Linked DNA regions of Arabidopsis thaliana. The protein of the gene in region 1 interacts with the protein of each later gene in a pairwise test. Each region holds a gene or a part of one and is shown in the gene's direction. Other genes may lie near its edges. The genes, in order: AT1G19210, AT4G18340, AT4G23050 and HAI1.

Evidence for each region.
Region 2: the proteins of AT1G19210 (region 1) and AT4G18340 interact in a two-hybrid assay, tested with the Arabidopsis thaliana proteins (one large-scale study listed by BioGRID).
Region 3: the proteins of AT1G19210 (region 1) and AT4G23050 interact in a two-hybrid assay, tested with the Arabidopsis thaliana proteins (one large-scale study listed by BioGRID).
Region 4: the proteins of AT1G19210 (region 1) and HAI1 interact in a two-hybrid assay, tested with the Arabidopsis thaliana proteins (one large-scale study listed by BioGRID).

Annotation. Positions count from the first base shown.
Region 1 is NC_003070.9:6,625,916-6,632,387, reverse strand, and holds AT1G19210 (Integrase-type DNA-binding superfamily protein), read left to right. Parts: upstream 1-4,699; 5' UTR 4,700-4,857; coding exon 4,858-5,415; 3' UTR 5,416-5,594; downstream 5,595-6,472. Other genes in the region: ARF19 (auxin response factor 19), read left to right, coding at 1-60, 140-235, 313-369, 454-609, 701-785, 873-963, 1,040-1,400, 1,478-1,616 and 3 more.
Region 2 is NC_003075.7:10,128,287-10,136,099, reverse strand, and holds AT4G18340 (Glycosyl hydrolase superfamily protein), read left to right. Parts: upstream 1-3,907; 5' UTR 3,908-4,080; coding exon 4,081-4,153; intron 4,154-4,373; coding exon 4,374-4,710; intron 4,711-4,946; coding exon 4,947-5,655; coding exon of another isoform or gene 5,656-5,688; exon of another isoform or gene 5,689-5,780; coding exon 5,781-5,855; 3' UTR 5,856-6,050; downstream 6,051-7,813. Other genes in the region: AT4G18335 (uncharacterized protein), read right to left, coding at 6,737-7,231; AT4G18330 (Translation elongation factor EF1A/initiation factor IF2gamma family protein), read right to left, coding at 7,513-7,813.
Region 3 is NC_003075.7:12,076,869-12,086,650, forward strand, and holds AT4G23050 (PAS domain-containing protein tyrosine kinase family protein), read left to right. Parts: upstream 1-3,191; 5' UTR 3,192-3,243; coding exon 3,244-3,590; intron 3,591-3,781; coding exon 3,782-4,214; intron 4,215-4,323; coding exon 4,324-4,449; intron 4,450-4,552; coding exon 4,553-5,075; intron 5,076-5,202; coding exon 5,203-5,243; intron 5,244-5,332; coding exon 5,333-5,401; intron 5,402-5,493; coding exon 5,494-5,594; intron 5,595-5,719; coding exon 5,720-5,798; intron 5,799-5,889; coding exon 5,890-5,988; intron 5,989-6,074; coding exon 6,075-6,143; intron 6,144-6,239; coding exon 6,240-6,289; intron 6,290-6,395; coding exon 6,396-6,477; intron 6,478-6,553; coding exon 6,554-6,648; intron 6,649-6,743; coding exon 6,744-6,840; 3' UTR 6,841-7,388; downstream 7,389-9,782. Other genes in the region: AT4G23040 (Ubiquitin-like superfamily protein), read right to left, coding at 88-304, 390-1,042, 1,671-1,754.
Region 4 is NC_003076.8:23,892,225-23,900,221, reverse strand, and holds HAI1 (PP2C protein (Clade A protein phosphatases type 2C)), read left to right. Parts: upstream 1-3,282; 5' UTR 3,283-3,724; coding exon 3,725-4,201; intron 4,202-4,284; coding exon 4,285-4,587; intron 4,588-4,956; coding exon 4,957-5,062; coding exon of another isoform or gene 5,063-5,085; exon of another isoform or gene 5,086-5,194; coding exon 5,195-5,550; 3' UTR 5,551-5,818; downstream 5,819-7,997. Other genes in the region: AT5G59210 (myosin heavy chain-like protein), read left to right, coding at 6,603-6,638, 6,736-6,823, 6,911-6,957, 7,223-7,312, 7,395-7,448, 7,625-7,702, 7,791-7,859, 7,955-7,997. UniProt on the Arabidopsis thaliana protein: Acts as a negative regulator of abscisic acid (ABA) signaling for stomatal closure in leaves, and controls water loss during leaf senescence. Activated by the NAC029/NAP transcription factor during ABA signaling in senescing leaves.

The DNA of each region.
Region 1 (6,472 bases):
GTTTCATTACCTCCTGTGGGAAGTCTTGTGGTTTACTTCCCTCAAGGACACAGCGAGCAAGTAAGTTCATTGCGTTTCAAACTATTTTGAAACCTTTGGTAGCAATCTAAGTAATATGTTCAATGAAACCTTTTTTCAGGTTGCAGCATCGATGCAGAAGCAAACAGATTTTATACCAAATTACCCAAATCTTCCTTCTAAGCTGATTTGCTTGCTTCACAGTGTTACATTACATGTAAGTCTCTTCTGACTCCAACTTGTGAATCAACAAGAAGATGAACTAATCAGGACTTTTGTGAAATTCTGAATCAGGCTGATACCGAAACAGATGAAGTCTATGCACAAATGACTCTTCAACCTGTGAATAAGGTCTGAATTATATCATTCTTCTTGTGCTATCTTGGTTTAAAGTTGAGGACTTTAATGCTGATCTTTGCTCAAAATGTGTGACAGTATGATAGAGAAGCATTGCTAGCTTCTGATATGGGCTTGAAGCTAAACAGACAACCTACTGAGTTTTTTTGCAAGACTCTTACTGCAAGTGACACAAGCACTCATGGTGGATTCTCTGTACCGCGTCGTGCAGCTGAGAAAATATTCCCTCCTCTTGTATGTCTCTCTGATCAAAGCTACTCTCAGTTTCTTTTGCTTCAAACTTTTGAATCTGTTTTGCTAAAAGTTCTAAGGGTGCTTAAAATAGGATTTCTCGATGCAACCGCCTGCGCAAGAGATTGTAGCTAAAGATTTACATGATACTACATGGACTTTCAGACATATCTATCGAGGTTTGAATCATCTAAAGTTTGTTTTATTAGTCTAAAAGATTGAAAACTTCAACCTGATTTGTTTTCTTTGATGTAATCTGATCTCAGGCCAACCAAAAAGACACTTGCTTACCACAGGTTGGAGCGTTTTTGTTAGCACAAAGAGACTATTTGCGGGTGATTCAGTTTTGTTTGTAAGGTATGAGTCATACTTTGATCAAAACATTAAGCAGAATTGGACTTTCATCTTCTCATAAGGGTACTTGGGTTTGCAGAGATGAGAAATCACAGCTGATGTTGGGTATAAGACGTGCAAATAGACAAACTCCGACTCTTTCCTCATCGGTCATATCCAGCGACAGTATGCACATTGGGATACTTGCAGCTGCAGCTCATGCTAATGCCAATAGTAGCCCTTTTACCATCTTCTTCAATCCAAGGGCAAGTCCTTCAGAGTTTGTAGTTCCTTTAGCCAAATACAACAAAGCCTTATACGCTCAAGTATCTCTAGGAATGAGATTCCGGATGATGTTTGAGACTGAGGATTGTGGGGTTCGTAGATATATGGGTACAGTCACAGGTATTAGTGATCTTGACCCTGTAAGATGGAAAGGCTCACAATGGCGTAATCTTCAGGTAATGACATATCCGAGTTATGCTAAACTGTTTATGATGGTCATTTCTTCTGAATCTTTTGTTCATGGTTTAAACAGGTAGGATGGGATGAATCAACAGCTGGAGATAGGCCAAGCCGAGTATCCATATGGGAAATCGAACCCGTCATAACTCCTTTTTACATATGTCCTCCTCCATTTTTCAGACCTAAGTACCCGAGGCAACCCGGGATGCCAGGTGAGTTTACTGCTTTCGTTCATTTTTTTCCCATAGATCTTTGACTGAGTTTCCGGATACTAACCTTGGTGGTTTGTTGCAGATGATGAGTTAGACATGGAAAATGCTTTCAAAAGAGCAATGCCTTGGATGGGAGAAGACTTTGGGATGAAGGACGCACAGAGTTCGATGTTCCCTGGTTTAAGTCTAGTTCAATGGATGAGTATGCAGCAAAACAATCCATTGTCAGGTTCTGCTACTCCTCAGCTCCCGTCCGCGCTCTCATCTTTTAACCTACCAAACAATTTTGCTTCCAACGACCCTTCCAAGCTGTTGAACTTCCAATCCCCAAACCTCTCTTCCGCAAATTCCCAATTCAACAAACCGAACACGGTTAACCATATCAGCCAACAGATGCAAGCACAACCAGCCATGGTGAAATCTCAACAACAACAACAACAACAACAACAACAACACCAACACCAACAACAACAACTGCAACAACAACAACAACTACAGATGTCACAGCAACAGGTGCAGCAACAAGGGATTTATAACAATGGTACGATTGCTGTTGCTAACCAAGTCTCTTGTCAAAGTCCAAACCAACCTACTGGATTCTCTCAGTCTCAGCTTCAGCAGCAGTCAATGCTCCCTACTGGTGCTAAAATGACACACCAGAACATAAATTCTATGGGGAATAAAGGCTTGTCTCAAATGACATCGTTTGCGCAAGAAATGCAGTTTCAGCAGCAACTGGAAATGCATAACAGTAGCCAGTTATTAAGAAACCAGCAAGAACAGTCCTCTCTCCATTCATTACAACAAAATCTGTCCCAAAATCCTCAGCAACTCCAAATGCAACAACAATCATCAAAACCAAGTCCTTCACAACAGCTTCAGTTGCAGCTACTGCAGAAGCTACAGCAGCAGCAACAGCAGCAGTCGATTCCTCCAGTAAGCTCATCCTTACAGCCACAATTATCAGCGTTGCAGCAGACACAAAGCCATCAATTGCAACAACTTCTGTCGTCTCAAAATCAACAGCCCTTGGCACATGGTAATAACAGCTTCCCAGCTTCAACTTTCATGCAGCCTCCACAGATTCAGGTGAGTCCTCAGCAGCAAGGACAGATGAGTAACAAAAATCTTGTAGCCGCTGGAAGATCACATTCTGGCCACACAGATGGAGAAGCTCCTTCTTGTTCAACCTCACCTTCCGCCAATAACACGGGACATGATAATGTTTCACCGACAAATTTCCTGAGCAGAAATCAACAGCAAGGACAAGCTGCATCTGTATCTGCATCTGATTCAGTCTTTGAGCGCGCAAGCAATCCGGTCCAAGAGCTTTATACAAAAACTGAGAGCCGGATCAGTCAAGGCATGATGAATATGAAGAGTGCTGGTGAACATTTCAGATTTAAAAGCGCGGTAACAGATCAAATCGATGTATCCACAGCGGGAACGACGTACTGTCCTGATGTTGTTGGCCCTGTACAGCAGCAACAAACTTTCCCACTACCATCATTTGGTTTTGATGGAGACTGCCAATCTCATCATCCAAGAAACAACTTAGCTTTCCCTGGTAATCTCGAAGCCGTAACTTCTGATCCACTCTATTCTCAAAAGGACTTTCAAAACTTGGTTCCCAACTATGGCAACACACCAAGAGACATTGAGACGGAGCTGTCCAGTGCTGCAATCAGTTCTCAGTCATTTGGTATTCCCAGCATTCCCTTTAAGCCCGGATGTTCAAATGAGGTTGGCGGCATCAATGATTCAGGAATCATGAATGGTGGAGGACTGTGGCCCAATCAGACTCAACGAATGCGAACATATACAAAGGTTAGAGATCTTTCTCTCCCTTTCCATAGCTCTAATCTTTTGCTTCTTAATTTTCGAATGCTAAATGCCGAAAGTTGTTAAATCATTGAAGGTTCAAAAACGAGGGTCAGTAGGTAGATCAATAGATGTTACCCGTTATAGCGGCTATGATGAACTTAGGCATGACTTAGCGAGAATGTTTGGCATCGAAGGACAGCTCGAAGATCCGCTAACCTCTGATTGGAAACTCGTCTACACCGATCACGAAAACGATATTTTACTAGTTGGTGATGATCCTTGGGAGTACGTTCCAGACCTGAAAAATCTATCTGTAACAGTCAAGATTGAACAATTCTGATAATTCTTGTCTGTTTGTTTTTTCCACAGAGAGTTTGTGAACTGCGTGCAGAACATAAAGATACTATCATCAGTAGAAGTTCAGCAAATGAGCTTAGACGGAGATCTTGCAGCTATCCCAACCACAAACCAAGCCTGCAGCGAAACAGACAGCGGAAATGCTTGGAAAGTACACTATGAAGACACTTCTGCTGCAGCTTCTTTCAACAGATAGAAATAAAAAGATGCAAATATACCAAGTCAACTTACATTATCATTCGAGGCCATCGCAAAGTACATGTTTTTTTTTGTGTGTATGTACTGCAAACAACAAACTGAGAAGAAGAAGATACTGCACGGTATATAAACATTTTTATAGGACAGTGATTTGATTTTTCATTCTAACTTGATGTTGTTGTACTTTCTTGTTTCCATATTTGTATAACAAGTATAATGCTTGACAAGTCTATGAGGAGCATATCTTATACAGAGATACTAAGATGTAATGTTAATGTAACTAAACAATTACCTTCATTAATCATGAATCTTTGGTCGTTTCTTCTTCTTCTCTTCAGTGCCTCCTAAGAATCAGGGATCATTTCAGATTCTTTTATACCAGTATCCTCTAGACGCAGCGAAATATTCAACATTTCAACGTTTGAAAACGAAAAGAGAGGAGTTAAAGAAAGAATCACGTGAAAAACAAGGACAAGGACAAGAAAACCAAACAGTCTCTGAGATTTCCCGTGTGAGTTGTGACCCACACACATTAAGACTCAAGCTTCTAGTAACATCCGCCACGTGTCCATTCCCCTGACACTTTGCGGCGTTTTAAGTACAAACGCGCTCCCTTTGACCTTTGAAGCTGACCTTCTTTCTTCTTCACGCGCCATAAAAAGTCAAAAACTCACTCTTCACTCTTTTATTTCACTCGTATAAATAAATTTCTGAAGCGCCAAATACAATTATCTCAATTCAAATCAACACTAACACTGAAGAACAGAGCTCACTGAAAAAACTTAACAGAACAAAATTAAACCGGAAAACAGAGAAATCATACCGGGTTGGTTCAATCGCGTCTTTGTTTGGTTTAATCGTGATGGAAGGGTCGTCTTCTTCGATGCAGTCAAAGTACAAAGGAGTGAGGAAGAGGAAATGGGGAAAATGGGTTTCAGAGATCAGACTTCCCAACAGCAGAGAACGTATTTGGTTGGGCTCTTACGATACTCCTGAGAAGGCGGCGCGTGCTTTCGACGCGGCTCTTTATTGTCTCCGTGGCAACAACGCAAAGTTCAATTTCCCTGATAATCCTCCGGTGATCTCCGGCGGACGTAACTTGTCGCGATCTGAGATAAGAGAAGCTGCTGCGAGGTTCGCTAATTCGGCGGAGGATGATTCAAGTGGCGGAGCAGGATACGAGATACGGCAAGAATCTGCTTCAACATCGATGGACGTTGATTCGGAGTTTTTGAGTATGCTTCCGACGGTTGGTTCGGGTAACTTCGCTTCGGAGTTTGGGTTATTCCCTGGGTTTGATGATTTCTCCGATGAATACTCCGGTGATCGTTTCAGAGAGCAGCTTTCGCCTACACAAGATTATTATCAGCTTGGAGAAGAGACTTACGCCGATGGTTCCATGTTTCTTTGGAATTTTTGAATTCCATTATTCACAATCTGAAAATTTTGACTTGGGTTTTTTATTTTTTTTTGTAGTTCTTTACCCAATTTTTTTTTGATCATTGGGATAAAGAGTTATTCATTCACTATTTTTTTCCCACGTGTTAGATTTTTCAGATGGGAAAAGGCCAAACTTAATAAAACAATTATATTTGGATCTTCTGACGTCATTTGATCATATTATCATGATATCATCCACTCCAATCGCTTTCACTAGGCCCAATTACAAATCTTATTTTAACTGTACGATTAAGCCCAACAATAATACTTCAGGCCCATTAAAATCAATAAGGGTATTGTCTTATTAAATTTCAATTACAATTTTTACTTTAAGTTGTACGATTAAGCCTAATAATAATATTTCAGGCCCATTCAAACAAAGGCAATAAGGGTATTTGTCTTATTAATTTTTATATATTTATTTTCTGATATATTTGACAACGACCTTATTAATGTTTTAAGGGTTTTCAATATAATCATTTCAATGAATATCTTTTAAGAAAAAAAAATATACAATTCAGTAATCAATTAAGCCAGTGAAATTCAAGGATTAATTGGAATTAAAAAAATTGAAACAAATAGTTTAAAATTGTTATGAAATTATGCTACTATAATTTATCTAAACCAAAACGAATATTCTTAGCCACTAACTATTAACTTGACAAATCCTACAGTTAGTTATATTCAAAAAAAAAAAAAGAAGAAGAAGAATTAAGAATCTAGTTACGTAATTGTCTCAAATTCAAATTACATATTGCATTATATGTTTACAAGTGGCAAAAATGTTAATATAATATGCAGTAATTTTTTAAAAATAGAATCTGGATATATTGAAAGGAAAAAGAGTTTAATAGATAACGTAAAGAGCTTTATTAACAAAATGCGAATATCCGACCCGTAAAGAAATGCGGATATCCGGTGGGGCTAAGTCTGTAGCTTCTCCATTTCATCTTCTTTCTCTTCTCCACAATCAGATTTTCCTATAAGATTTGCTTCTTCCATTGCTCTTCTCATCGTCATATATCTTTCTGTTTCTT
Region 2 (7,813 bases), on another chromosome or scaffold:
TCTTTTAACAACTGAACAACGATGTATGACTAGACTACACGTTGGATTTATCATTTTAGACTCGTCTCCGTTTTTTTATTTGTCATTGTAATAGGGTAAGTAATAATCATTGAATATGTGTCTAATTTGTTTAAATACAATTCTCTGATACATGCAAAACTAAAATTCTAGAATCGAAAATGCCTAAAAGCTCATGACATCAGACAAGTTGACAAAACAAAATACAACTAAAACCAACGATAAGCTGTCCCCTAATAATATAAAAATTTGAACTTTCAATATAAATTTCTAAAATATTACGTGTCTTATCCTTTAATGTCGCACCCAAATTTACATACTTTTTATAAAATATTTCGAAATTCTCATTTTCTTGTCGTTAACCAAAAAAGATGGAGTAAAAAGAGAAACATACACATAGATTTAAGGCCCTTTTTACGTATGCGCGTCATAAATGAAAAACACTTTGATTAGTATAAGAACATTTAAATTTTAACTACTATAAAGAAAAAAAAAGCACACGTAAAAGCTTTTAGCCATGCATGCACGATGTTTACTGGTTATCGAGAAAGCATTATCGTTGTTGGATAAGACATTAACTTTCCTCTCCTATATGATCATAAAGCTTGTTTTTCTTCTTCATAAATCTTGCCGCTTAATCCTTATCCATTATCCACCAAAAATTCAATTTTGTAGGCAGCTTTATGAAATAATGCTTTACACCATTTTGACTCGATTATAAGTATTATATATATCCACTATTCGAAATGGCCCACGATATCTGTATTTTAATATGACGTCAAATATCTTATTTTGTCTAATGAATCCAAACTAAGTACAGTATGTGAATCTTGGTAATATATGTATATAGAGTTCAGTTCAAATATAAAATACAAGTGTATGACGTCAAAAAGAATTTTTAGATACGTTATAGGCTCATTATTTAACTATATGTTCACTTTGGTGCAGCTTAGTATCTTTTATGCAGATATAATTTGAATTTTTGATCTGGTGAACTATATATTGTTAAGTAAAAAAAAAAACATGTCGGTCCAACCCAACCTAGACCTGTCAAGCATGTTTAATGATGGTTTGGCCTGATCCATTTGTTAAACAGTAGGTAAAATTTGCAATCTTTTTTTTTTTTTGTTTTTTTTTGATTTTGCAATCTTCTCCCTTATCTACACTGTTCTCTTTAAGAAACCCGCTATAACACTTCCCGAATCATTCATGCGGGAGAATTCAAAGGTACCTTAATATTACCACCTTCAAACCAATTCGCACATGGTCCAAGTTGGAAATGGTTAACCAATTTAGTTACCTATCACTATCAAATTCCCACAGTTGGGTGTGATGCATCATACATTTGCAAATGTCCAACATGGAAATCCGAATCAAGTAAACCCTATATATACTCTATTTTTCATGCGTTAAAAGGGTTAAACCCTTTCTTTGAAGAAACTTAACCTTTGTTCAAAAACATTGATATCGTTGAGTACTTGTGTTGCTTTAAAAAGCTTTCATGTCATTTTATTTGCATATTCGATATTGTAAATAAATTGCAGATTAAATGGCATATTCTTTCAATCCGAGCTAAAACAAAATCATTCTCTTTTTCTGTCTGCTGTTTCAAACTTGCTGGACAATTATATGATCTTTCTGATTTGGACATTAAAATATCCACAGATAACGTAAACTTGAAATATTCTGCAACCAAAAATATGTCCATTCAGTAAATAATTAACAAACTAGATCATATTCATGAAGAACTAAACCAGAATCATTAAATTTAAACATTAGAAATAAATTAAAACTTGTGTCATATACTCGATAATAAATCAAATTATCTTTAACTTTACACATATAGGCCTATATAAAACAATCTGTTCGGCCGTGTATGGTATATAGTTACGTCATTATCAAATTAATCTATATGGAACTGCCATAAGTCGACCGGTGGTCAATCCTAAGCCACGAAATCAAACTTTTAAACGACGAACTAAAAGTTTTCAGCCAACTATAAACAGGCCACTCTGAATAATTGACTGATTTTGACTCCTTTCCACATATTTAATTCCAACATCGAACGATTACATTTTTAATTGCAACAAGTTCAATAGCTTGAGACGGGTATATTTCTTATAAGTTGTATACATGTGTTCAAATAAAATGGCTCTTGGTGTCGTGAAAAAGAGAGAAGATTTAATATTATAGAATCGAAAAGAAGACACTAGGGTATTTTGGATTAGATCAATACAGCCAAAAGTTCCACTTTAAATTAATGTAATTTTCTGGCTAGCCAACCTTTCGAGAAAACGAATTGACTATCGTCTACGTGATCAAGTTTAACCCTTTATATTTTACCATTTAAAAATATAGTAAGTAGAAATTAATTGATTAACAAATCAATAGCCAACCAAGCGAAAGCACTTACTATTTCTTAAATAAGTTTTGTTGGGGTTTATTATGTCAGGTGATTAAAAAACAACCGATGGTTGAAATTGACCGACGGCTCCAAGTGTGTGACACTGCCCCGCCAACTTGTCTAATTCCCCTCGAAAGCATATTAGCAACATTATCCCAATTGACCATTTTATTTTACTTTTGTTATGCTAATGCTTTTAGTTATTTGTCAATTTATACATTATCATATTTGTCTTGTTTTATTTTACAAGTGCCTCAAAATTAAGCATGATCCTTTTGTCTAAAGGAAAGTAAGTATATCCCTTCTCTATCATCTTAATCCGAATAACAATATATTTGAGATTTTTTCTTGACAATTAATGGCAAATTATATTACGACTTATATATCTTTCACGAATACAATTTTGGATATCCCGTTCTTGATAACTTTCGAGGACTTGTATGAATTTCCGTCCAAAAGCCTCGGATTACAAAAAGAAAATAAATATGTGATATATGTTTATTTGTATGTATTATATTTCCCGGGAGATTTGAAAATATTAAACTTTAAAGGAGAAACGGAGGAGGCTTCCTCAGTGTACTATTGAATCCTTTGACACGTCAAGTCAAATCGGATCTCCAATTAGCTTTTGTCTAAAGAAATATAGTAAGGTTTGTTTGTCATATTAATTAGGCTAGGATACACTTGCGGTCAAGATTCATGCGAAAATGTAATCATTATTCTTCGAATTTGAATTAGCATTAAATTAATCATAATTAACACGTGATTAGTAAAATCAATGATTCAGATAAATTAGATAATAATATTAATAGTAGTAAAAGTTAATAAGAAAAATAAAGACCATTTTTGTGGGACTAATAACCCATTATAAAATTTCTTTTGTCATGAAGTTTTAGCTGAAAATTTGATATTTTACCTTTCATGATTATTCTACAAGACATGATTATCTATTAAAATTTCATTGTGTTAATATTAATTTTTATACCACGTCTTTTTCTCCATGATTATCGTAGAATAAACTTTTGGTGTATAGTACAAGTTTGTTTTAAGTCACGACTCACCTACTTAATTGAAACGAATATTTTAATATTTTCCGGTGCTTTATGAAACTTCTTCAATATTCTATACACGTCCACTTATGTGTATCCCAATCTCTTCTTAATTTAATAACATTGCTCACTTTTTTTACCAACCCAACAGTTAACACCACTTGTATAGTACATGTAATTAAACGAAACACACAAACAACGTATTTCCTTCCATACATGTGCATGCAAATTGTCTTGTCATAGAGTCTGCATTAATCTAGCTATATGATAAATAACTACATACAAATATTTTAAAACCTAATAATTTTCTTTAATAAGAAATCCTTCGTTGTGGTTTATAGAAAGCCGTCAGTGGATAAAAAAGGCATAAATGAGAAAAGCAATATAGGGAGGCAAAGCTAAACAATTTAAAAACACTTTTTTTAAAAAACATAAACTTCAACACTAAACCTTTTCACAACAAAAAACACGGAAAAAAAACAAACAAGCGAAGAAAAGTATTCTTCACCTTGGTTGGCTTATTGTGTATGTCTATAAATATTCCATTAAACACTTCTCTTAAAACCCAAAACCTTCACAATCTCTTTCCCTCCCTCTCTCTTCCTCAACATGACATCAAGAACATTCACAAGACATTCCAGTCTCATTCATGTTTTTCTCCTGCTTTCTCTCGTTTTCTCAGGTTATTTTCTTTTTCATTCTGAAATTTTAAAACCAAATTCTTAACACTTAAGTTATGCTTTACGTTGCCGCCTTAAAACCTCAACGTGTAAGATTTTAACATAGTGAAATAACGGATCGATAATAAGTCTAGAATTCATTTTTTCAATGTTTGTTTAATGGAATATTAAAGATTTTTGGCATTGTTTTCTAAAAGTTCGATTCTTTGTTTGGAAATATAGGGAATATACTACAAACAGTAACGTCTCTTGGCATCAATTACGGACAAGTTGGGAACAATTTGCCTTCACCGGATAAAGTCATTAACCTCTTGAGATCTTTAAGGATCACAAAAACAAGAATTTACGACACTAACCCTCAAATCCTTAGTGCCTTTGCAAATTCAAACATCGAGATCATCGTCACCATCGAAAATCAGGTTTTACCATTACTACAAGATCCTCAACAAGCTACCCAATGGGTAGATTCTCACATTAAACCCTATGTTCCGGCCACTAGGATTACCGGAATTATGGTCGGAAACGAGCTTTTCACCGACGACGACTCTAGTTTAATAGGGTAAGTACTAATCGTTGAATATTAGTCTAATTTGTTACATGATCACAGAATTAGTTTTTTTTCATTAACTGATTTCACATTTTCTTGACTACCACTTGGTCAAATGTAACGAACTCCTTCGAAAAAAATATTATATTTATTAAACTCCACTTTGAATTTCAATAAGAAATGAGTGTAATAGTTTTTGTCCAATAATTGCTAATTTTGACTATATTCTCTCCTCTTTTTGGTAATAGATACATGATGCCGGCGATAATCAACATCCACAAAGCCTTGGTCCAATTAGGTTTAGATAGATACATTCAAGTCTCGTCTCCAAGCTCTCTTGCCGTCCTCGGTGAATCTTATCCTCCATCTGCCGGAAGTTTCAAGCCGGAGGTTTCCTCCGTGATGCAACAACTTCTAGATTTCTTGGAAGCCACGAAATCTCCTTTTTGGATAAATGCTTACCCTTACTTTGCCTACAAAGATAACCCACAAGAAATCCCAGTCGATTACGTTCTATTCAACCGTAACATCGGCATGACCGATCCCAACACAAGACTACACTACGACAACATGATGTATGCTCAAGTTGACGCAGTTGCTTTCGCGGCTGCGAAACTAGGGTACCGTAACATAGAAGTTAGGGTTGCGGAAACAGGGTGGCCTTCAAAAGGAGATGTCGGAGAGATTGGAGCGTCTCCTGTGAATGCTGCCACGTATAACCGGAATCTTATGATGAGGCAATTCGCCGGAGAAGGAACTCCAGCGAGACGGAATGCAAGACTCGATGTTTATATATTTGCGTTGTTCAATGAAGATATGAAACCAGGTCCTACTTCGGAGAAAAACTACGGTATATTCCAACCAGATGGATCATTAGCTTACAATTTGGGATTCTCTACAATGTCGACAACGACGGCAAATTCAGAATCTGTCACTTATTCATCCTCTGCCACTAAGGTACGATTAGTATTATGTGGTGAATTTTGTTAGAATTTGGAATTATTGGGGCCACGACGAGAATAAGTTTGTGAAAGGACTAGATGTGCAAAATGAATTAATTCTCTGTTTTCTTCTTCTTTCAGGCAAAGAGGAGCTTGGAGTATTGGACAATTTTGATATTGGCGATGGTTCAAGTTGTAATGTTGAGACTATTTTAGAGGAAAAGTTATTGACAATATAATAACGCGATTGTTTAGGATATTTATGTAAACAATTTAATTATAAGCTTGATAAATATAATTTATATTCAATTCAACATTCAAATGAAGTCGGTCAATAGTGAAAATTCTAAATTTATTGTTGTCGTTAACAAGTAATTGACATATATAATAAAGAAACAAAGTTTACTTTTTAAGAAAAACTTGTCGTATATGAAAAGGTTTGAGTAAGTAGTAACTTTGACCAAAAGGCATATAATCGATAACCAGTAGCGGTTTAGAATCAACCATATATTTTTTTCCCTCTAATTCAAGAAATATGGCATAGCTTAATTCATTTGTATATGTTGTTGGATATTTTAAATACAATCCCTAGCTAGTTATATAATATAGATATTAGAATGCAAACATATGCATTGGAGTGGACGGTACGAAGAATTGGAACTGAAGCTAAGAAAAAAAAGCCATGAAACAAGAGCTTATGCTCACGATGCAAATTCACATGCTCATTTCCAATTATATCGGCTCAATATACTCCCTTGTTCTTGCCACAAACGATGCGTTTTGACCTTGAAAACATAGACACATATGCTTTTTTCTCTCCATATATTATTTTACCGATCAGTCAAGTTTAGTTTTATAGAATAAAATAATTCAGCTGCACGTAAGGAAAAATAAGTACTTTCTGAAAAATCAAAGGACACGAACAATCAAACATTAGTATGCAAATTATTTTCATACACTTGACCGTCAAAAATGCACTGATCAATGCACCGGTCATTCCGAACAAAAAAGAAAAAAAAATCTTTAAAAGATGAAAAATACAAAAGTGCGACGAGAGGAACAAAATCGTTTCACGTACGACGTATCGGCAACGATATCTAGGGTTGTGTAGAAAGATCGCAAAAGAGAGTAGTAGCGGAATTAGGGTTCTGGTTATGGCATGGAGATGAACCGGAAGGAGGTACGAATCCTTTGGGAAGCATAACCGAGAAAGTATCCTGTCGAACCGGACGGTTTAAACCGTTATTCTTCTTGGCCATCATCTTGAAGTAGCCAGCACGATGATGAAGACCACGGCGATGACGAAGAGTATGTCGATAGTAGTAGTAGTATTGGTGATTGTAACGACGACGACGGTGGTTGTCTCGTTGCAACCGCTGGTTCAAGATAAACGGTGTCGTTTTCTTGATGTAGACGAGTTGGTGCGGTGATTCGTAACCGTTGAGATAAGCTTCCGTTTTTTGTGTTGATGATACTCTTGTTTCTTGATTCGAAGATGATGATGATGGTGAGATGAGGAAGACGAGAGTGAGAATAAGAGAGACGATGAAGCTTTTTAGAAGACTCTGTTTCATCAAAACCAAATCTTCCATTGGGATTGAAAGAGAGTATAGGGTTTTGGCTGAGAGTAAGAGAGAGCGTAAAGATGAAACAAAAGCTCAGAACGAGGAGGGAATTAGAATTATATAATTCCTAATTAGTGATAAGTAATATCATTAATGAAATTATGAATTTGTTTTTTAAATTTTCGTCAATGTTGTGTTAAATATGAATATAGTTTTATATTGTAGTCGAAAGAAAGTGATTAAACATACAAAGGCACATGTTAATTATTTTTGAATGCAAACAATATAAAAAACTCATCACTACTTCATTAGAAAGGAGGAGGAGGAACATCGATGGTGGTTCCAGCCATAATCTGACCCTTACCAATTAGACGCCAATGCCTATCGACACGTCGGCTTAAAGCAACCTTCTCTCCTATGGTGGTACACACCGGAGACGTCAGTTGGAGTTTCACCATATCTTTCTTGACTCCAATAACCTTAGCTCCCGTAGACATAGACCCGATGTTCACCATCAATATCTCTTCTTTGGTTAGCTTTGACACTTTCATTTGCTTCTCTTTTTCCTTTGTCCTCACTCCAATGAGACGAGTCAGAAGCTGGTAACTT
Region 3 (9,782 bases), on another chromosome or scaffold:
ACTCTAGGATACCTACTTAAAAGTAATACAATTATACAGGTAATCTGATCGTTCTCATATAGGAAACAAACATATATCTTTTGCTACCTCAGAAGGAAAACCATTGCCAGCACCCGGTGAATGAATAGTTGCATCTTCTGCTTCAGGGCTCCGGGGAAGATCATCATTAAGTGAGCTCCGAGATCCAGAAACCGCACGTCTTGGTCTGTGGCTAACAAGGGGTTCCTCTTCCTCCTCAACATAATCAGGGTCATCGTCATCATCATCATCATCATCCTCAGACAGTGAGCTAGGTGCTGCGAATCTACACATATAAAAACAATTTCTTGGGACATTGTCTAGGAAACACAGAAGACAAACTGATAGACTACAAAACAGAACAAACTAACCTTCCATTTGAGGCTCGGGAACCCTGCTGTACTGGAATAGAAACCATTTCAGAAGCTTCTCTTTCTGAGGATGAAGCCTTCCAACCTTCACTGCGCAACACTTCTCGCTCAGCTGACTGCACTGTGACAGATTTTGTTACGTCATCACCAGTCTCCATTTTGGAGGCCTCAATAGCAGCTCGAATAATTTGTTCTTCTATATCATTGTAATGTTGCATATTATTTTCTGCAGAACCAACAGGTACAGCATGCCTACTTTGTCCGGTTGGAGCAGACTGATTATCATCATCACTTACTTCATCTATAATGACCGCCTCTTGGGCAGCTGGACCGTGAGCTTGAGCTGTCTCGGTCACATCCTCAATAGTAGGAGCATCATTAGATTGACCTGATGGCCCATTGCTGTCTTTAACCTCTATAGGTATCTCCCTGGCCTCCCTTGGATGACTAACAAATGGGGGACGCGACATAACAGGATCATTATCAAATAGACTTCTCCCAAAGTTTGGATCACGAAGCGGGAACGGGTCCGTTGTTCTAGCTTCAGAGAGGACTGGAGTCACACCATCATCTATATCCATTGCATCATATGAATTTTGATCTCCATGAGTAAAGTATGCATTCACAGCTCTATTGAGGTTCCCACGATACTCCTGCAATAATGATAGCATGTAAGTTTTGGCAAACACGAGGAACACCAGCCACACACAAAAAAAAAACTTACAAGTTATAATGATGCTGAGACAATAGAATAATGACTAAAAGATAAGAATGCACAAAGGACACAATAAAAAGTTCTCTAAACCCAAACTAAAATTGTACACAAGATGAGTTCTGAAAAAAAATTCATTGACTTCAATAACTAACTTAAACCCCACATGAATATCTCTAAAATACCAAAAATCCAGACCAAAATCCAAAAAAGAACAAAACTTTTCACAACTAATTTCACAATGAGCAGGTATAAACTCGTTTAGATATCAATGAACAATTAACAAAACCAATAAGCATGAGAATTCTGTAAGAAGTCCACATAAAAACTCAATCAGATAATCGGATAAACTAAAATTCAACACAATTAACTCCAATTGCGACCTAAACGCATCAAGATGAGCTTAACAACGATATAACAAAAGCGTAGAGGAGATATAATTCGATGATCCAACGAACAACCACTTGAGCGATTCGAGAAACTTCCAAAAATACTTCAATCAAAAACAAAATAACATCTAAACAATAGAAGGAAGACGGAAAAAACCCAGGGAAGTGTAATTGAATCACCTCGAGCTTACGAACGGCGACGGCATTGGAAGAGCCGGTGATGGTCATGAAGGTGTCAATAGCTTCCTGAGTAGGTGTCGCCATTAGAAAAGAGAAAGCTTGAGAGAAGTTTTTCGTCGGAGATTTGTGTTTGGAGCTGGAGTGAAGGAGGAGGCAAGAATTAATATATGTTGTAAATCACAAAAATTGCAGTGAAGAAAGGAATTGGATCGGTGACTCTTAAGATTTTTAAAGCCTTTTTTAGGGTCTTTCTTCTTTTCCATTTTTTTTAATTCTCCTTTTTTATTTGGTGTGGATTTTCTTAAACTTTATTTTCTTTATTCTTTTTGTATATTTTCGGTGATATTCAAGATATTATTTTCAGAGAACTTGAGATAATATATGGAGTGTCCTAATCTGAATAACTAAATAAATAATTATTCAGTTGAAATTGGATTTTTTTTTTCAGAGTCTTTATATTTTATAAACTGGAATTCGAGTCAAATTCAGAGTGGATTAAACTTATCTTTTTAGTTTTTACTAGCCAAGAACTTTTTGACCTTTTTTTTTAACATGATATTAATTGTTATAGTGTATATACATTAAAAGTTAGATAATTTTTAATGTACAAAAAAAAAGTTACATAATTTATTTTTTTTCACACCAATTACATATTTTATTTGTCAATTTGACAGTAAATATGGAAATAAGCCTTAAAATGTAAAGGCTTTTCGGTCCAACAACGAAAAACCAAAACCAAACCCAAAACTAAAATATCCAAAGATATCCTCACTTTATGATCATCCCAATCTTCCCTCTATATAGTGCCTTTAAAGGAGCTGTCATGTTCTCTTTCGGCCGTTTGTAATATAAGAATTGTCGTTTTTGTCCAAAAAAAAGGGTTGGCTTTCAGTTTGTGTCCCAGAAACAAAGTAAATCTTTAGATAAATTGAAACAAAACTAGCTTTGTGACTCCAATTAAACTTTGCTTCCTCTAAGAAACCTTATGGAGAGTATTATTCTACAATGATTTGAAGTATACTACTAATAATTGATTACATTTAAATTCAACTATAATTTATTGTTATTGTTCTTCAATCAACTTGAACTTTGAGTTTATTGGGCACATTACTTTTAGAGGAATGTGAATGTGAACATTGAAGAGACGTGTATTTTATTTTCTTCTTGACAAATACCGTTGGAGGTATAAAAACACCATCAAACTCAGGCCCATTTGGCAATGGCGGCAACAAGAATGGGTATTATATTGAGGTTAATTTCGTCAATCACCACTTTTAAATCGTGACAAATTCGTCTATTATCTCTCAATCTTCTTCAACCTTCAATTACATCGGCAATTCTACAAGTGGCAGCATCCTATTAGTAACAAACACACGTGGCGTAAGCTAATGCGTCGTAGTGTTTATAATAGCTGGGGTTTGTTAATTATGGCGTCACGAGTGATTTAAGAAGCAGCTGAAAAATAATAAACAATGAGGGAATGCCAACGTTTTAAATTATATTTTTAATTTGTGAATTTTCATCAGAGTCGGATCTTGATGCGACTGCTCAAACAGAGTCACCGGCGATTACGATGGCCGGAAACAACTCGGAATCGAGTCTCTACCAGGTTTTGGTGGAGTGGTGTCAGAGGATGGAGACGAGTCAAGCGAGACTAAGGGAGGATGTTGATGACTTATTGCTTCAGGAGGAGAGTCGAACCGGTAAGGAATCGGCGACGGGATTGGAGACGGACACGGAGAAAGAGGCTGAGGTAGAGGTGGAAGCGGAGGCGGCGGATTCCTGGGATAATCCGACGGCGACTTGGGAGAGAGCTGTTTCAGGATTCTATTTCGCTGATAGTGCGTATCGGACTTTGATGGATTCAATGGGACACGCGATTCATGTAACATCAGCTGCGTCTGGAGAAATTACATTCTGGTGAGCTTGATAAGTTCTTCTTCTTCATCTATGGTGTTTGTAGATCAGGAGCTTATAGTTCTTCTAAGTACTGTTTCATTGAATTGTGTGTTTAAGTAGTTAAACAAAGTTATATATAGCGATTCATTGTATATGCAAGTGGACATTTACTATTTGTTTCTGAGTGGAGAGATTCTTTTATTATTATTCAGGAGTCGTTCTGCTGAGAATCTGTACCATTGGTATGCTGAGGAAGTTGTTGGCTACAGAACTATTGATGTGCTTGTAACCGAAGAATACCGTAATTCCCTTACTGGTATCAGGAATAGGGTGTGCCGTGGAGAGACTTGGACTGGTCAGTTTCCGTTTCAGAAGAAAACTGGTGAACTATTTATGGCTTTGGTGACTAAAAGCCCTGTGTATGAAAACGGTGAGCTGGTTGGTGTTGTTACTGTCTCGAGCGATGCAACCCTTTTCAATAGGATGCATCCACTAAGTAATGAGCATCAACAACAAGCTCGTAGTAATAATAGACATGAATCAAACTTGAGAAAACATCAGTGGCACCTCCCGAGGCCTCAGATCGCTGCAGCATCACAGGTTCCAGTTGTCCCACAATATTCATCAGCTGTTGCTTCAAACCTGGTAGATCTCACATCATGAATGTTCGAAGTTTCTCAGTACTTTTTTTTATATAATAATTCGTGTGCAACATGAATGATTGTTTGTTTTGCTGTTTTCTGCACAAACCAAGAAGGCGTCGAAGCTTCTACCACAGAGAAATGGAGATGATTCCTTCAATGGAAATCATAATTCGAGGAGCCGAGATGAAAATGTTCCGGTTGTTGCCTCCACAACTTTCGAGAAGTATGGCTCACTGGTAAGTCTTCGTTGGCTCCTTAAACAAGACACTTCTCATTGACATTTCTTAGAACGATTATTGTCTCATGTTATAAGCTAAATCTGCATATACACTAGTGTAGGCGGATAAGTTTTTGGGGAAGCTGCAAAGGAAGATTACTGGCAGCCAAGGAACCGAAGATAATGAGCCTATCTTAAGAAACGGTATCAATAAGTCAGCATGTGGCAGTGGAGGTAGTTCTAAGGCTTCTAATGCAGTTACCTGCACGGCTTTCAGAGACAATGGCAATGGAAAACCAAAAAGGGCTGAAGTTAGAATTTCAGATGTCTATGGAAATGGAGCTGAGGGTTTGATACATAATGGAGATCGCTTTCAGTATATTGGGAACCTGGGACAAAGTAAACCTCCCAGAGGACTAGAGAGTGGTTTGGTGTCTGGCATGCGGGGAACAAAAATGTCGGACCTAAATGGTGAGATAGAAGATGCTTGGAATACTCGTCTTAGTGTTGATCCCTTGCCAATTCTAGGAGTCAACAGCGGTAGGCAACAAAGTCCTGTCAACCAAAGGAATAATAGATTAGTTACTGATTCGTCATGTGAGATACGATGGGAAGATCTACAACTTGGGGAGGAGGTCGGAAGAGGTGTATTTCATTTACCAAAGTCTTACACTCGTTTTCACGTTTTAGATATGCAAATTCAATTCAGATCTGTGTCATTGCTGTTTAAATCAGATTACAAGTATTTCTGATGCGTTACATTTTCTCACAGGTTCATTTGCTGCGGTTCATCGTGGAGTTTGGAATGGATCGGTGAGTTTTCTGTAATTTAAGATAAAATAAGGATGATTCTAGTATTAGTTGCACATGGATAACTAACTAGTCCAATCTATTTGGACCAGGATGTTGCTATTAAGGTTTACTTCGATGGTGATTACAATGCGATGACTTTGACGGAGTGCAAAAAGGAGGTATGTATAATTAGTTCTCTCTGTTATGAATTGTTTCTAGAAGTTACTCGTACCAGACAAAATAAATCAGTTTTGATCAATAATATCTTCAGATCAACATTATGAAGAAACTGAGACATCCGAATGTGCTACTATTTATGGGAGCAGTATGTACAGAAGAAAAATCTGCCATAATCATGGAATATATGCCAAGGTGAGATTATTGACGTATGGATCTGGAAGTAGTGTTACTCCTTATCGAGTGTGTTATATTATGCTGCAAGAAATTGCAGATGAATACTCTGTGCTAAGTTATTTCTATACGGTTTTGATGATTAGAGGGAGTCTCTTCAAAATACTTCATAATACGAATCAGCCATTGGACAAGAAACGCCGTTTAAGAATGGCCCTTGATGTTGTAAGACTCTGATCTTCCAAAAACCTCCCTCACAATGAAAGAAAAAAATATGAAAGGCTGATTATATTCGGGTTCTCTGTTGTTGTTGCAGGCTAGGGGAATGAATTACTTACACCGCAGAAATCCGCCAATTGTACATAGAGACTTGAAATCTTCCAATCTACTCGTGGACAAGAACTGGAATGTCAAGGTACAAACAGTTTTCTCAAGTTACATTTATGAAGACTTGTAAAATGAGTTTACTATTGCATGGACTTTCAACTCTTTCTTCCCTAGGTTGGAGACTTTGGGTTATCAAAGTGGAAGAACGCAACCTTCTTGAGTACTAAATCCGGGAAAGGAACTGTAATGTTTAACAAAAGCCATTTCTGATTCTTTTAATCCACAAAACAGTCTTGGATTTCTGTTACTAAACATTGTTCAACTTTTTTCTATGTGCAGCCGCAGTGGATGGCTCCTGAAGTTCTCAGAAGTGAACCTTCGAATGAGAAGTACGTTGGATATAATATTAACCCTTTTTTGTTCTCTTTTCGAAGACATTATTCAATAACTTGAACATTTTTTTGGACTAAAAGCTCAATGCTTTCGTTGTAATAGGTGTGATGTGTTCAGCTTTGGAGTCATCTTATGGGAGCTAATGACTACGTTAGTACCATGGGACCGTTTGAACTCTATTCAGGTACCTCTCAAATTCTGTTCTTATGAGATTATAGCTTGATCATAAGATTGTAGTAATCTTAGCAACTTTAAATTAGGTTGTTGGAGTTGTTGGTTTCATGGATCGACGATTAGACTTACCTGAAGGATTAAATCCCCGGATCGCATCCATAATACAGGATTGTTGGCAAACGTAAGAAGACGCATCTGTAAATTGTTTCATCAAATACACCCTACAAACTTAGGGGCGATTTTTCTTATATTCTTTGTTCTAAATTGTTGAAACAGTGATCCAGCAAAACGACCGTCGTTCGAGGAATTAATTAGTCAGATGATGAGCCTGTTCCGCAAACCAGGGTCAGGTGCGCAAGAAGAAGACGATTGAGAAGGTAAACAGTACATGGTTAAAGGATAGTTCACAAAGCAAAGGACGTGAAAAGAAAACGAAAGCATCGTCCTGATCACTTACTATACAAATGTTTCATTGTGTTATACCAAACTACTATTTATGTTTTCATTGAAAGAAAGAAAGCAAAAATAGCTAAATCAAAGTAATATACAGTAGAATCTTAGGTTAGTTTAGTTAAACTATGCATTATATAAACTGTTGTCGGTTTATGAGCTAAGTTGTAAAATGGGATCTAAAAAGGCAGAGGCGCAGAGGCCAGAGGAGGACTCAGATGTAATTTAAGAAGTAAAAGGGTGAAAAAGAGAAATACGAGAAAAACTGTGAGATTGATGGTGTCTTGTAGTGAATTGTAATGTAGTTGGTTTTGGTTTGATGGGGTAAGAGAAGGAGGAGTGACAATTCGTAGGCATTGCTTCTTTTGCTTTAATATTCTCTTATTACAGCTTCCCATCACTGCGTCGTCTGTAGCTTCTCAGCACCTAATTATAAGAGAGAGTCAGAACCCTAAATAAAACTTTTTTTTCAATCCTTATTCGTAATTCCACATTACAGCATCTTGAAATTGACGCAGTCACAAAAGCATAATTAAAAAAAAAAGGATACAAAGATGGGTCTATTATACCGAGTATGTATTGTGCATGCATGTGACGTGGGTGAAGGGAACTTCTCTTATAGAAGTATTGAAAAAGGAGAAATTTTGGGGGATTGAAAATATTTGTCTGTTTGTCTGGTTAGGTCAGAACAAATCACATCGAGCTGCATAGTAATATTTCGTTTACAACACATGGTTGTGACCTCTAGACAAATAAACTTTTTAACAGTTTTCGCTGTTTTGCCTTGCATGTATTTCGTAGTATTTCAATTTATATGTAACTATATTTCAATTGAAACATCTTTACCATATTATTTTCTTTTTTGATGCCAATTTCTTTACCATGTGTTTGCTCTTGTGTTATTTATGTGTGATTGATTGATTGACCGTGTCGATTACCCAAGCGGAATCTTGTAAAGGGATACTCCGTCACCGTAATACAGTGACAGCATATTTAATTTAAAATAATATAAAGTCATTGTAGGATGGAAAAGTAATTTCTATGATATTTTCTTCCGAACATTATAAAATTTATTTTGTCAGAAGTAGAGCAGATTAAAGTTTCGAAGATGGATACTTTCACTTTTTTCTTGTAAGATATTGATTAGGTATGATTGAGGCTCATGATACGAAATAATGTCAGTGTTGAACTACTAATTTGTTATGCTTGAAATGCTTTTTTATAGGTCAGTAGGTTTTTTTATTTTATTTTTAGGCATATTTATTCTGGTTTAGTTTAGTTAGTTGGTTTCTAAATTTTCCTTACGACTAAAAAATCTAATCCCAAAACCAAACGAAAACAAGAAATAATAAATCGAACAATATTTTTAATAACAAATAGAATATATATATATATATATATATATATTATATCAAATTATTCCAAGATAGAGTTTTTCAGTTCATTCCTAGTTCCTACTCATATATTCTTAATTTCTATTATCTCAAGATTTTATCTTGTCCTCATATCTACGAATTGTATGAAAGGGTTTAATAACCATAATCTATTGCATTGTCCTATCTACGTACACCATAATCGCTTGTGTTGGTGGATCTATAGTAATCTAAACAATTTTTTATTTCCATGGCGTGAAAGTTTGAGCCAACAACTAACGATATTAATCGTACAAATGAGTTTCATATTTTTTTTTGCAATCTCATTTCAAAAAGTGAAACCAAAATTTGGATGCTTCTAATTAACCATAAGATTTTTTATTAGGTGCACCTAATCTTGTTAATAAATTATAATCTTCTTTGATTAGTTATGCTCCTATCCAGATTTCATGCTTCAACTCTATGATTGATCAACTTGCATTATTACTGTACCATAAATACTTTGCCAACGAATGTTAGTTGTGGGGGAAACAACAATTCCGCTGGTAATTTTGACTGAATTAAAAAATTAGAGATAGAATGCAAGGAGACACGTACGAACGAGTTCATACACGAGAAGCAGTTGACCAGAGTCAACAAACCTGTAAAAAGCTAAAGAACCACCGTCCACTCGCAGTCTACTATATACGACTAACTAAGATTCATGCAGGCTCAAGTTTTTGTACTTGTATGACACGTGGCTAGATCGTAACGGCCGTTTAGACTGATGTCTCTTCGTCTCTCCGAGTCTTTGTCCTGTCTTTTTCTCATTGCATGAGACATACCGAAGATTCCAGTGGATTAATTGTCGGTCCATTTCTTTTTTCCTTTTTACTACTGACTTCGAGTTAGATTCTCTAAAGTAGTACACGTGAACCATAGGATTCGTTTATGATTACATAAAACCTTTGTTAGTAGTGTTTGTTCATTTCTTAATTCTGGTTATACATTTGAAACATATGCAAATTTATCACTCGACTTATTAATCCTAAGTTCGTAACTAAGTTCTTTTTGGTTAATTAGCTTATATACTTCTCAAGATTTCTGATTCTGACTTATGCTATAAAGTATATCTTCGATAAGTTGAGTCGCATCTCTCTCCTCGGAAAATATTCTTGTATTTTGGACAAATTTCTCGTGTATTGTTTTGATATTTTTGTGGTCATGTTGTTTTGTGAATTAGTATATAAGTAGATAAACTACGTAGTTTTCATTCGTACAACTATATAACCAATCGTATTCGACGAAATAAATAGTCAGAAAATATTCTATTTGTTATGCAATAATATCTCACTATACAGTCCAAAATATTAACCTCCATATAAATCTGATAGTAACAACAAACAATTTTTTCTCTTTGTCCTATAACATACATAATACATTTATGTTTGAAAGACAAGAGAAGAACAAAAACAAGAACCCACAAATGTCAAAATAGTGAAAGAATTGGATT
Region 4 (7,997 bases), on another chromosome or scaffold:
GATGAGCAACCTCACCAAACTCAACGGTCAAATTTCACATGCCATATTGCTTGCATCTGAAAGAAATATAAAATTCACCATACTATATATATATTGTTATATGTACGAGGTTACTGGTTAGGAGAAATACTCAACGACTTTGTTTGAATCGGTTTAGCCAAACCACAGCAATCATTTTCTCAAAACATTTAGCGTATAGAACAAAGACTCATATGTAATTATTTTAACCAGGATTTGTAGCTTAGTGTTTGTAACTGTATGGTTCGTCATGGATTCGGAAAAAGAAAAAAAAAAGTGTATTTGACAATGGCTTTGTGTTAGTACAATAGGCTTTGTGTGATTAGTATTTTTCCAATTTCCATAAGCTTATTATAATAATTTGACAATTTGATCATATAGTATCATTTTAAATCATAGGTTACGAGTGTCGAAATTCTTGTTTTAAAAAACAAAAAAAGGTTGGTACCAAATTGACAAATGTCGACTACGTAACATAGTAAAAGTTCAAAGACTACGCAATCTGCCGGCCATGCAGGCTCGAGGAAAAATCTGCCCCGGGAGAACACGTGTCGGAATCAAATTTGCCACGTAATTATTGAAACTTCTCCTTTGGTAACTGCGACCTCAACGACCATTAACCGCAACGTGGGGCTTGTGTCCGACACGCGTCTCCTTAGGCCTCAAAACTAGACTTTAGAGTTAAACCTTATTTATGTCTTGTGGACAATGGTGACACCTCATTGGTTCCTCGTAATTGCCGAACTTTCTTTCAAACAACTTACGTTTAGATTGGAACATTAAGCTTTTACAGACTAGTGGTTAGGAATAGGAAAAATATTTGTGTTTTGAGTTTAAAGTTTGTGTTTTTCAAACTAGATGTTGAGTTTGGCGCATGGTTTTGAAATAAATTTAAACAGGAGAATCCATTAAACACATAACTCAACATCGAGTTTGAAAAATGTATGAGATCGGGCATTGTTCATTATCAAGAAAAGCATTTTGTATTAATGTATATAACTAATCATGTGTGATGTGGAAATTCCAACGACAAATTGGTAAGATTTCAATTCAAAGTTACAAAACAAAGACGAGATAATTAATCAAACTAGCTAGGACAATATATTGTCTCCTTACCGAAAGCTCTCCAACCACCTACTAAAGTAACTAACCATGTTTCAGTTATAATTTTATTTTTTCGTATTCCTATCAAGTATCAAATGATATAGTTAACCAACATTTATATATATATATTGAAATCACTAAACAAACAACAAAAGTAACATAGATTTTAATGGAACTAATTTTCACCTTATATTTTTACATAAGATTTGAAAGTGATGGTTAGTGACTTGTTGGTCGATGACGAATTTGTTTTCAGGTTAAATTTTAATAATAATAATATTTGAAAGAAAGATGAAGCTTTCACGTGGCACAATGTATTTGCCTACTGTCAACTTCAAAAACCTGGCAACTGCTATGCAGCTTCAGAGGACACGTGTCATGTGTTACACACGCGCTTCGTTTTTTTTCAACCTTTTGATTTTGTTTTGTTCTGTGATGTGGGACTCACATAATTCAAATCATCATCCTATTGCTTGCCGCCACGTCCCAGAGAATTTTCCGCGAAAAGCTGAGCTTCTCTCTTTCTTTCCTTAATTTTAGTTAGGTTATGAATTATTTTTGTATTAATACTAACTAACTAAAATATCATCATCACATTACATAAACATAAGATTCATCGGCGTAACGTAAGTAACAGTTAAAGCCCAAATTACAACTCTCGATCCTACTTAATGCATAGTAAACGAATGTTGACACAGAAAAAATCTTGGTCAAGACATAAAAGTAGAGAATGTAAACACGTGTCGAACATCGAGGAAGAAAACAGGTCAGAGAGGGGTCAACGTTGTTAAATGTTAGTAATAGAGAAGTGGTCCCCAGTTTCCACCAAAACCCATCTACGTACTTGTATCTCATTGGATGTCATTCCTGATTGATTTAGAATTGAAAACGTTATATTTTGTTTATTTCTAATTGTTGATTGAATATCTTATAATTTTTGCCCACAAAAGAAAATTATAAGTGTATAATATATAGTTCACTCGAATTTAACATGTCCATTGTCCAATGTAGAACGTATGATCATTTCTGTTTTTCAGTTGCTTTTATTTTAAATTCCCAAAAACCCAATATTGTGTCAAACATTGGAGAATGATGTTCACTTTTATTGTATTCACAAAATGCTACTTATCAACTAAGAAAATTGTAATGTCAAACATAAGATGGTGATATTTTAAAAATAGATGTAAAATTAGTTTAGAACTGTCTGATAAGTCATAAGATTGCACGATTATAAATCATTGAATATTCCGGACACTTGTCAAGATTAAAACCATGAATAAGTTTTCAAATTCATTTTCATCATCTCAATTGTAAAACTAGGTAAGATATCCTTTAAAATCTTTGAATATTAGTTCCCCGGCCCATATAAAATCTCTTAAATATATTTATTTGAAAACTCTGACTGTTTGCACTTGCAGCATAAAAAAAGGGATGAAACAAATGGAACAAATGCAGAACAAAACTAATAGACCAGACAAGTAAAACAAACGAAACAAAACAAGTGTTGAAATGATAACTCACAAATTTGAACTTACTTTTCTAGCAAATAAGAAATTGTTCTAATTAAAAAAAAAAGCATATGCAGTCTCAAATTGTTTCTAAGAAGTATTCACGCACCAAGGTTATATTTGTAGTGACATATTCTACAATTATCACATTTTTCTCTTATGTTTCGTAGTCGCAGATGGTCAATTTTTTCTATAATAATTTGTCCTTGAACACACCAAACTTTAGAAACGATGATATATACCGTATTGTCACGCTCACAATGAAACAAACGCGATGAATCGTCATCACCAGCTAAAAGCCTAAAACACCATCTTAGTTTTCACTCAGATAAAAAGATTATTTGTTTCCAACCTTTCTATTGAATTGATTAGCAGTGATGACGTAATTAGTGATAGTTTATAGTAAAACAAATGGAAGTGGTAATAAATTTACACAACAAAATATGGTAAGAATCTATAAAATAAGAGGTTAAGAGATCTCATGTTATATTAAATGATTGAAAGAAAAACAAACTATTGGTTGATTTCCATATGTAATAGTAAGTTGTGATGAAAGTGATGACGTAATTAGTTGTATTTATAGTAAAACAAATTAAAATGGTAAGGTAAATTTCCACAACAAAACTTGGTAAAAATCTTAAAAAAAAAAAAAGAGGTTTAGAGATCGCATGCGTGTCATCAAAGGTTCTTTTTCACTTTAGGTCTGAGTAGTGTTAGACTTTGATTGGTGCACGTAAGTGTTTCGTATCGCGATTTAGGAGAAGTACGTTTTACACGTGGACACAATCAACGGTCAAGATTTCGTCGTCCAGATAGAGGAGCGATACGTCACGCCATTCAACAATCTCCTCTTCTTCATTCCTTCATTTTGATTTTGAGTTTTGATCTGCCCGTTCAAAAGTCTCGGTCATCTGCCCGTAAATATAAAGATGATTATATTTATTTATATCTTCTGGTGAAAGAAGCTAATATAAAGCTTCCATGGCTAATCTTGTTTAAGCTTCTCTTCTTCTTCTCTCTCCTGTGTCTCGTTCACTAGTTTTTTTTCGGGGGAGAGTGATGGAGTGTGTTTGTTGAATAGTTTTGACGATCACATGGCTGAGATTTGTTACGAGAACGAGACTATGATGATTGAAACGACGGCGACGGTGGTGAAGAAGGCAACGACGACAACGAGGAGACGAGAACGGAGCTCGTCTCAAGCAGCGAGAAGAAGGAGAATGGAGATCCGGAGGTTTAAGTTTGTTTCCGGCGAACAAGAACCTGTCTTCGTCGACGGTGACTTACAGAGGCGGAGGAGAAGAGAATCCACCGTCGCAGCCTCCACCTCCACCGTGTTTTACGAAACGGCGAAGGAAGTTGTCGTCCTATGCGAGTCTCTTAGTTCAACGGTTGTGGCATTGCCTGATCCTGAAGCTTATCCTAAATACGGCGTCGCTTCAGTCTGTGGAAGAAGACGTGAAATGGAAGACGCCGTCGCTGTGCATCCGTTTTTTTCCCGTCATCAGACGGAATATTCATCCACCGGATTTCACTATTGCGGCGTTTACGATGGCCATGGCTGTTCCCATGTACGACGTCGTTTTATTATAAAAATTATCCTTTAATTGACCGTTACGACGTCGGTTTTTAATTTTAATAATATGATGTTTAGGTAGCGATGAAATGTAGAGAAAGACTACACGAGCTAGTCCGTGAAGAGTTTGAAGCTGATGCTGACTGGGAAAAGTCAATGGCGCGTAGCTTCACGCGCATGGACATGGAGGTTGTTGCGTTGAACGCCGATGGTGCGGCAAAATGCCGGTGCGAGCTTCAGAGGCCGGACTGCGACGCGGTGGGATCCACTGCGGTTGTGTCTGTCCTTACGCCGGAGAAAATCATCGTGGCGAATTGCGGTGACTCACGTGCCGTTCTCTGTCGTAACGGCAAAGCCATTGCTTTATCCTCCGATCATAAGGTTTTGTTCGTTTTTTGATAATCTCTCTTGTTTCGTTTATCCATCGTTAAATGTTTATCCGTTAGATCTACGGTTATGGTTTACTCACTGTAATGAAACGAGAATTTCGTTACGTGTTGCGTTCGAAACTTACCTATTAATATTGTTTAATGCATTTTTTATTTATTATTTCATTTATTGGAAATTAGAATCTTCTTTAATGTGCATGCAACACCTGGACGACGATTAAGAATGTTTAATGACTTTTTACTTTTTAGATAGAGGATCTGATAAAGTTTATGAGTTTTAAGATTCTTTAATCCTTCGTGTCACTGTTATCAATGACTATATCATTCTCTCTCTCTCTCTTGTTTAAATTTGTTGTAACAGCCAGACCGTCCGGACGAGCTAGACCGGATTCAAGCAGCGGGTGGTCGTGTTATCTACTGGGATGGCCCACGTGTCCTTGGAGTACTTGCAATGTCACGAGCCATTGGTCAGTTAATTGATTACACTTGACGAAAACACTCTTGTCCCTATCCTAATGTTTGTACAAAGTTTTTCCGTACTTTCAATAATGATGATTATTAACTCTCGTTTCGCCGCGGATTTTTTTTTTTTTTTTCAGGAGATAATTACTTGAAGCCGTATGTAATCAGCAGACCGGAGGTAACCGTGACGGACCGGGCCAACGGAGACGATTTTCTTATTCTCGCAAGTGACGGTCTTTGGGACGTTGTTTCAAACGAAACTGCATGTAGCGTCGTTCGAATGTGTTTGAGAGGAAAAGTCAATGGTCAAGTATCATCATCACCGGAAAGGGAAATGACAGGTGTCGGCGCCGGGAATGTGGTGGTTGGAGGAGGAGATTTGCCAGATAAAGCGTGTGAGGAGGCGTCGCTGTTGCTGACGAGGCTTGCGTTGGCTAGACAAAGTTCGGACAACGTAAGTGTTGTGGTGGTTGATCTACGACGAGACACGTAGTTGTATTTGTCTCTCTCGTAATGTTTGTTGTTTTTTGTCCTGAGTCATCGACTTTTGGGCTTTTTCTTTTAACCTTTTTTGCTCTTCGGTGTAAGACAACGAAGGGTTTTTAATTTAGCTTGACTATGGGTTATGTCAGTCACTGTGTTGAATCGCGGTTTAGATCTACAAAGATTTTCACCAGTAGTGAAAATGGTAAAAAGCCGTGAAATGTGAAAGACTTGAGTTCAATTTAATTTTAAATTTAATAGAATCAGTTGATCATAACAAAATCTTACCTTTTTAAATTTATTTTTTGTTATATATAGGACGATGTTTATAGGAATATTAGAAATGTTAGACTGATATCTTTAAGAATAGGAAAAGAACCAAATATTTACTAAGGAATTTGTTTTCAAGTGTATTTTGTAACTAAACAAGGCAAACAATCGGTATAGAATACTTCAAAGGTTAATTGGGAGGATTCAATATTATAACATTTTTTTCTTATTATGTAAAACGTTTTTTTTTTTTTTTTGCCAACATAATCTATAAAACATGTTTATATAACTCTTCATCAAACGGGTATGGTTCACACTTTATCATGTGACATATTAGAAGATGTCGATCATTAAGACTGAACATTGTTTAAAGTACTTAGAAATCAAAATGATGATTCAAGCTTTGATAACTTCCAACCGTTTCCAACCGCCAAACTTTGGTAACTTTTTTAGAATCGAACTCCTAGCTATCGCCTAACGATTTTTTTGAACATTCTCGTTTTTTTTTCTTTTAAATGTCTTTGCAATTGCATAAACTGGTTTTTTTTTTTTTTTTTTTTTTTTGTCGGAAACTGGTTTTCTTTTATCATCCTGTTTTCAACTTTTATTCAATTTTTTTTTTCTTTTTGAAATTGAAAAACTGGGCTCGCTTTCAAGGTCAGAGAGTTATATATGTCCATGGGCCTATTTAACACTCCTATAAGCCCAAATATAGATATATTCCATTTTTGTCGCCGGCGATTTCCTCACCGTTAAATCGACGTTCGAAATTCCGAGGAGAGGAATCATACCATGGAATCGCACCACGCGTCTCTAGGTCGCCGTACTGTAAGGATATTTCCGATATGGCCGTCTTTATCTTCATCTGAAGACAGTTTCTTACATCGGTGCTTTTTTGTTGTTATTAATTTCTGTGATCTTGTAGTTGGAAGAGATTCGTCAAAAGAGAGCAGCTCAAAGGCTAAGCAAAGCTTCTTCAGGTCCAGATCTTAGTGAAATTCCCAATCCTGCCGGTAATTTTATTCATCTCCAATTTCAATGTTTTGCCATCTCCTTTTCCACTAGCTTTGCAATTTTGATTGACTACTTCATTATTTCAGATTTCCCAGTGATCAGAAAATCTGAGAGCGGAAATCGACTTTCTGAGGTAGCATTTCTCTGCTTATCAAAAATTGTACCTGGTGATCTAATTGGATTCTTTAGAATTGCGACGGTCTTGATAATGAGAATGCCTTAATCGAATCATGTCTTCTAGGATTTATGGACAAATTTGATTTTGCATATTGTCCTGAGGATAGGCTCATTCAACTTTTCTTGAGTAAATGAATGAACATAAATGGGAGTTTTGTATTGGTTTTACTGATATTATGATCTTCCTGGTAATAATGGTTTGTTTTGAATAACTTGTACAGACAGATGTTGGTGCTTTATATTCCCAGCTTAAAGAACTGCAGAAGAAGAATGCAGAAATGGAGGAGCGCAACAAAATTTTGTCTTCAAAGGTCTGTGTCTATCTCTTTGCCTTGTTGGATATTAGATCCAAGGTTGTATGTTGATTAAACTGTATTTGTCTGTGGGATTCAGCTTCAAACGAAGGAAGTTGAGAATGAATCACTTGAGACTCGGTTGAATGTGCTGGTAAGTAACAAGTAAACTTTTATTTGTGATCTTATTTAGTCCTGGTTGGCTGCAGTTTGTTTAGTTTTTTGTACTAATTGGTTTGTGAGGCTTGACATGCAATATGAATCTCTGGACAGTCCATTTGGTAAACGATTCAAGATGTCTTGACATATACTCTTATCGATGAATGACAGGAACAAAACACAGTGCCATCTCTGAGAAAAGCCCTCAAGGAAATTGCAATGGAGAAAGATGCTGCTGTTGTTTTACGAGTAGGGAATACACTTGTTTTAGTTCTTTTGGTGCAAAAAATTATCTCCTTTTTTATTGCATTTTGATAGGCATAGCTTTTGTTTATAGGAGGATCTCTCAGCTCAAGTTAGGACTCTTAAGAGACGTGTTAATCAGGCAGAGGAGGAACAATATCGAGTATGTAACAATCTTTTGCCTTCCAAATTAAAAATTTTCTTTCTTCTTTTTTTTTTTTTCTTTTCTTAAAAGATACCATAACCCATTGTTGATAGGCTGAGGAAGATGCAGCATCTCTTAGAGCAGAGCTTAATTCGA